2 linked regions of the Arabidopsis thaliana genome follow. The protein of the gene in region 2 purifies or fractionates together with the protein of the main gene of each other region. This does not show direct contact. Each region holds a gene or a part of one and is shown on either strand. Other genes may lie near its edges.

Region 1 (3,713 bases), on a different chromosome or scaffold from region 2:
GTGGGACTCAGTTTCATTTAAAACGTATTGGGCTTTTAAAATGGCGGCGAGAAGATATGATTATCGGCCATGTCGTAAGCCCAATATGTTATTCCAAATGGAATTTAACTTCTTAAATAAAATTTCAAAACAGTAATAGAAAATCATACCATAGGTATACAATTATCATATGTTGTTACAAAAACCAATTGACGTCCAAGAATATACTACCATATATTATTAATAGAATTCGTAACAAAAAAAAAAAAAAAATCACATTCTTTAAGAAGTGAGTGTTCCCATATTTCTCTACCAAGAGACGATTTGATTTTGACCCTACAAAAAGTATAGTAGATACAATGTGGACAATAAATCATATAAATATCAAAGAGTTAGTTCTCAATGAATACAGACGTGGCGTCATTTTTGGCCCAAGGGATTATTACTTGGTCCACTCAAATTTCTATTCCGCTTATTAATACCGACACCTATATGCATTCAATCAATTTTCATGTCCTAGTCTTCTCATTGATTGGTTTCACATTTACATAACCTGTGATTAATCTACTAAAGCAAATGATTCAACTAACCTGTGATTAATCTACTAAATCATTCACTAATCATGAGTTAAAATTCGCAAAATAACTAAAAAGGTTTTATTTTATTGAATCATATTTCATTAACGCCACATTACACTCACAAGAACAACGAGAATACAAACAATACAGACAAGTCTCACGAATCACAACACATCACTTAAACGACCCAAGAAAGCTTTTTCCGAATCTCAGACCCGACCCGACTAACACTATCCCTAAGCTTGACCGGACAATTGTTCCGTACGGCGGTGAGCTCATAAGGAGAAGTATCAGTAGCGAGCCATTGCTCAATCTCAAAATCCTGCGTCGAGCACTGTGCGTGAACACCAGCCGTCGTGATCTCAACGTAATTAACGTACCAACCATGGTGATCGCCGGAGCCATCGGAGGTTAGGTTTAAGGCACAGATCGGACTAGGTAAACACGGTGCTCTTCCACTGAAAATGTCGAGATTACCCCTCTCGAAGTAATTGTAATCAGGTCCCATTAATCCAGCCCAAGCTTGAAGGTTTTTGATTCCGATGTAGTCACCGTCCTTATCGTAGATTCTTGCGCTGATGATCGAATCGGTTCCGGCTTTCCAGATCGATCCGGTTCTGAGGTAGAATGTGTATACACAGTCTGGATCATCTTCCTAGATAAACAAACAGAAACTGAAAAAGTCAAATTATCGAAAAATCTAAATCTGATCGAGAGTGGTTAGAGATTGAGGAAGTTTACGGCGAAAGCTACGGCGGAGACGGTGGCGAGAAGGAGGAGGAAAGGGAGGAGAACATCGCGACGAGCCATTTTGTTTTTTTCCGGTGAACGATTTGTATTTTTTCTCTGATTTTTTTTCTGCAGAGGTGTATTAATAGATGCGAATATTATTTGAGGGAAGGGTTATTATTGGGAATTAACAATTGGGGTAATAATCACGTGTTATTCGGAGTAGCGTGTAATGTTGACGTGGCTGACTCTTATCTGTTGTGATGTGAGAATTGAGATGGATAATTTGAGAGGCTTGGCGATTACTCGGCGAGTCGGTATATGATGGGTTGGTAGATTTACGAAATTATCCTTTTAAGTCTCTCTCTCTCTGGCAGCTTACGGACCAAGAAAAATAGTCCACTGGATTGTATGAAATTTTCCTTATTAATGACTACGAAATTTTTGATGGTTTTGTCTATATTAAGAATAATTCAAATTTATATTGAGAATAAGTAATTCTTCCCATTTTTATTTGCTTATATATTTGCTGTCAGATTTTTATTATTTTATGGCCAGGTATAATTTATATTTGTAAAAACAAATTGTTACTTCTTCTCAGCATTTTCATTTTTAGACATCTTCTTCTCAAAAGTGTGTGGGCTTATAAATAACAAATACTAATTATATGGAGCCTTGGTATAGGTAAATATTGGGCATAAAGCGTAAGCCCATTGTTGCACAAAAAAGAAGAAGCGTAAGCCCATTTATATATTTATCTTGTTATAACAAAATGCACACGTAGCAAAAAAACTACATGCTGGAAATTTGATCAAACCCATAGCTTACTAAATTATAGAGAGTGATGATTCTTTAGTTTTTGATATCCTTGTGATCTTCAATACTAAAACTATGTAGACTTACATTATTTTGGTTAATTATATGATGATCATTGATCACCCGTAAAAAATTTTACTAACACGGCAATTTTTTTTTTATCAAACACTAACAAAACATTTAATAGTGATAATAGTTAATCGAATGTAGTGGTTGGTTTTACTAAATGTTTCTTTTTCTTATTTGCAATGCAATGATAATCAATTTCATACGAATTTACAAGTCAACTGAAATTTTGATATTTAGAAAAAAAACGAAAAAAACACAATTATAAATGAGTGTGGGTAACCAAACAAAACTAAGCCGTATGGGTAAAGTGATAATAGGGTTATGGCATTTTGGTTAATGGGCCCATAAATTTTGAATTTTCCTTGATAATTAATAGTATATTATATGATTGATTCTTATTTTCCGACCAAACCTAGTATCTCTATCAAAATATACACTCAAACCATTAATTTCCACTTGCAAATTAATCGGGTGAAATAAGTAGAAATGAGTATGTACATATCTTTGTTGCATCTTTTAAATTGGTGATTTCGAAATTATTCAATTGAAAAGAAAGATTAATCAGCTAAAAAACTTATCTTGGTGGAACTAGCTATATGATGACATCTAATAATTATGATATATATTATTGAATTTGGTCCGAATTAACTGACCTAATTATGTCATCATGTAAGAGATTAGTAGATTATTCAAATTATTCTATATCTTTAGAGAATAACGAGAGGAAGTTAAATGATTGTTTGTGCACACGGAAAATTAAAACTTGTTCTAACATTTTTATCGCATAATTGATTTTGATATGAATATACGCACAAATCACGAAGAAAAGTAAGTACCATTTATCAGGAAAAGTAAAAGTAATACCATCATAAGATTTGTAAACGTAACATCCTGCAGTGGTAGAGAAACAAAACAAAGCATTAGCCGAACCAAATATCTACAATCAAAGTGAATTTTGACTATCACCAAAAGGAATAAATCTAATATAAACTAAACCTTAGATACATGTATATAATATTGGGATATAGAGTAGACAATAGTGGATGGTGGTAGTGGAACCACTTAATGCGATTTCACCTTCCCTGTTTTTCTCCCTTTCACACAAAAACAAAACAAAATTATTAAAAAATCATGTCACACCAAATGTCTTATTTACCATGATACCCTATCTCATAAACTCCTTAAACAAACAATAGCTCCCTAAACTCAAGTATCCATTCTCACCTCTAAATCAATTTCTTACGTTTTCTCTCGTCAAAGTCTTTTTTTCTTTGTCACGAGATGGAGTCCGGTAATAGTAGTAGCATGCAATCTTCAAGCGGCGGTGGCGGAGGAGGAGAAGAAGAATACGATTCACGCGCCGCAGATCAATCCATTTCCGCCTTCTTCGACCACCACAACAACCACGTGTCATCTATACCCACGCCGCAACAAAACCATCGCAACCTCCTCCATTTCGACCATAACAACAACAACTCTCTAATACCACCAAACTACTTTAACAACAACACGTTCTTACCCGTAAACCAACAACCCGACCCG
Region 2 (3,758 bases):
TTGCAATTATTGGCTTGGACGGAAGGTAGCTAATCTCTCTGAATGTATATTCACATCATCCACAAGTATTATATGCTTCCATCACACTAGTCAGAATAGCAAAAACATAAAATAACCAACAACCACACATATGATTTATCGGCCTTACAGTTTCTACAGGTGCAATTTCGATCCAGTGAACGGAGGAGAGATGACTCAGCTTGAACATTTCCATTTTCTGAAGCAAGATAGCCCGAGATAGTCAGACCACGTGCTTGGTTTGAGTTTTATGTACATAACAATTGGCTCTGTATATAGATTTGGTGAAACCGCATACGATTTTATTCTTCCAAGCTTTACTTGATTGAAGGAAAATGTATTCTTGATTGGAACAATGTATATACAAAAAGGATTTTTTTTTGGTTATAACACTAATTTCTACAGAGAATCAAACTGCAATTCGATTACGTTTATTAAAATTTCAAATCAGAATGTTGATTATAGGACAGATATAACAAATGCAAGATGGTTCAGCTTACATGGTCATTTCAAGGTTACAGAACCGGATTTCTCCATTTAATTTAAAGACTTATACATTTAATTATTAATATTTAGTAACTTTAATTTTATAGAGACAATATAGAAAATTATGCAATGGAGATGCTTTAAAAGTATTAGGTGCCAGAGTTAAAAAAAAAAAAAAAGTATTAGGTGCCTTGTCGTCACCAGATTCCATTGGATTTTACGACTTTTTGTTAAACTCACAAGTCGCTAGCTTGTGGTTTAAGCAATCTTTTTTTTTTTATATAAAATTTACATATATTAAAAATTTTATGTGGTTTTTTTTTACATAATAGTTAATGATGCATTAAATTTAAGCAATTTTAATGATGCATTGATTTTATTAATTCCCCTTGCTCAAAATACTTTCTATGGTGTGATTAACACAAATTATATTATTATTCTTTTAGAAATTTTTGCTTGTAAATGCTAGTTTTGATTGCATTATTATTCTTTTTTCTTTTACGTCATTTACGAGAATTTTCAATTTTGTTTTATCAAAAATTTCTAATTGAATATTTGATGTTGCACATAAACTGACCGTGATACATGTGCTTGTTCTGTATATAGATTTGTTGAAATAACACTAGAGTATGCTACCAATGTTACGGATCACGGTCTCCAAGCAATTGGTAAAGGATGCAAAGAATTAAAACATCTTGAAATACTAAACTGTCCTGTTAGTAAAACAGGTCTTATAGAAGCAGGCGAGAGCTCTTCTTCCATTAGATATCTTTACGCATCAGGTAATAAAGATGGAAAGGAAGGAGGAGTGCAATCTTTTGCACAAAATAATGATAATATATTTTCTTTTCATTTGTTGTTAAGATTCTCCGAGATCTTCTCGAGATCTTTTTTGGAAATACGATAAGATAGGCTGAATAATTCTTATTCTGAAATTTTTTGGTAATGCGAAACCTTTGTTTTATATGTTCAAGAAGAAAAGAAATATTAAGAATTTTTTTTTTGTTCAGTCACACAACTTTAGAACAAAATTATGTTAATAATTTTCTTCATTTTAAATCCAAAACTTCAAAAGTTAGAAAACATATGAAGTAAAATAAAATAAAATGTGCTAAGCTATAAATTGATTTTAGTTTACATAACAAATTCTAATTGAAACTTATTTTTTTATATCGTCAAAAAACAACAACTAAATTCTGAAAAAATATCAAAAACTCCAATTTGGAAAGTATAAATTACAAACTAACTTGTTTTATTTTATGTTTTAATATAATAGTTTAGTTGGTTTAATAATAGTAAGTGTTATTTTATTATTTTTTAAAAGGGAAGGGTTTAAAAACCCACCAAAAAATCCCTTAAATGGATGCTTAAAAATCTCTGGTCGCGGGCTTAGCCCCAGTAGACTAGTTAGATCACTGTGTGGTCTGGGCATTGAGTTATCAAAGAAAAAAAGGGAAGGGTTTAAAAACCCACCAAAAAAGTTGAGGGTTTTGTACATGTTTTTTGTAAAAGGTGAGGGTTTTTTTTACCCACTTTTCATAGAGCTGAGGAACTTGATAAGATATCAAACAACAAGAGTCTCCAACTCAAGCAGAGACTTCAATCTCTCACAACAACACTGCAGCTGTTTCAGGCCCAAAAGGAGACACGAAGCCCATCTCTCATTCATCGGAACTCTGCAATACTCAAAACAGAGAACCATCACGCGAGCCGCTTCAGCTACCATCGCTCGCCGCCAACTCTTGTTGTTGTTTGATATCACTTTCTCTTCTTCAAGCAGTTGCTACTACTTTCAGAAGAAAGCTGAGAAGAAGCTTAACAGACGGAGAAGATTCGACACTAAGTACGAGGATGCTGCTGATCTGCTCGAGAAAGCACGTGATTCCTATAAGCTTGCCAAATCATGTAATTTCCATAAATAATAATCAGCCGGCCTTGATTTTTGTTTCATCTGATTGATTTGTGATGATGATGAGGAAGAAAAGGTGAAACTTGAGACTTTTGATTGATCTTTGGTTTAGCAATTGTGGTGATCCTTCCATGGTGTTGTGAGAAGTTGATTTTAGGCCTCTTTGATATGTGGGAATTATAAATTGGATACTCAACATTTAGATTACTCGATAATGATGGTTTTTGGCCTTATAGTAAAGTCATTGATAAGTATCTTCTTGCTTATGTGTTTGATTTGTGATTCTTCAGGGGATCAAGCTGGAATAGCTTATCTAAAACTTGCCGATTGTCACTTAAAGGCAAATTCTTTGGCAAACACATATATGATAATGGACGAATGTATGGATCATGTAGCAACAGCTTTTTAGATTTTAATTGACATATATGTACTACAGGACTGATTATCAACTCTTGTGTGTTTTCCTTTCGCTATGCATGTTTATCGCGTCCAAATATAACCATGACCTTATTATATGCAGAGGCTGCATCTTGTCTAGAGAGAGCGGCGAATATATTTTGTGAGATAGATAGTAAGGCTCAACATGGCTGCAAGATATTACAATGTACTACATGTCTCTTTTGAGTATGAATTAGATACTGTTACTCTTTTAGTACGGATAGTGAGAAGATAGTTTTATTGAGGGGGAGGCACTTCTTCAGCATCTTCTCCATGGTTCGTGTTGTTTATGCATGTTGGATCCTGTCGGATTTGTTTCTTTTTTTCTACAGTATATATAGTAAGCTTGGTACTGACTTTCTGTATTTGTACTAATGTGTACATTGTCATTTACTTTTGACAGGAAATTGCTGAGTATTATGAATCTGATGAGATGTTCGAGCAAGCTATTGCTTACTATGAAACGGCAGCTGAATTCTTTCAAATAGAAGAAGTGACCACCTCTGCAAACCAGTGCAATCTAAAGGTTGCACAATATGCTTCCCAGCTAGAGCAGTAAGATTTTCGGCACCTGACCTTTTTTTGGCTTTCTCATCCTCTGGTATTGACGTACTTACAGTACTGAGATGGGACCATGTTAAAATCGAATTTTCAAACCACAAATTTGACATTGTTTGGAATAATGTTGTTGTTCTCTACACATGAGCACATGGATTATAGCCCCTTCTCTACTTTGGGGCGGATTGATTGATTGATAATAGGCTTGCTGTTGTATCTTTGATAGGTATGAGAAGGCAATCCAGATTTATGAAGACACAGGCACGCCATTCACTCAACAATAAGTTGCTTAAGTATGGAGTTAAAGGCCATCTTCTCACTGCTGGCATGTGCCACTTATGCAAAGCTG

Evidence for each region. Proteins that work in one complex are often made in the same cells at the same time.
Region 1: the proteins of ALPHA-SNAP1 (region 2) and PLAT1 fractionate together in Arabidopsis thaliana (co-fractionation; one large-scale study listed by BioGRID). This does not show direct contact.

What each region holds. Positions count from the first base shown.
Region 1 is NC_003075.7:18,430,604-18,434,316, reverse strand, and holds PLAT1 (Lipase/lipooxygenase, PLAT/LH2 family protein), read right to left. Parts: upstream 1,659-3,713; 5' UTR 1,368-1,658; coding exon 1,299-1,367; intron 1,213-1,298; coding exon 736-1,212; 3' UTR 564-735; downstream 1-563. Other genes in the region: AT4G39720 (VQ motif-containing protein), read left to right, coding at 3,453-3,713. UniProt on the Arabidopsis thaliana protein: Positive regulator of abiotic stress tolerance involved in the regulation of plant growth. May be a downstream target of the abscisic acid (ABA) signaling pathway.
Region 2 is NC_003074.8:20,928,557-20,932,314, forward strand, and holds the start of ALPHA-SNAP1 (alpha-soluble NSF attachment protein 1), read left to right. Parts: upstream 1-2,000; coding exon 2,001-2,409; intron 2,410-2,703; coding exon 2,704-2,804; intron 2,805-3,254; coding exon 3,255-3,406; intron 3,407-3,427; exon of another isoform or gene 3,428-3,645; coding exon 3,646-3,758. Other genes in the region: ATG18D (autophagy 18 D-like protein), read left to right, coding at 1-25, 151-241.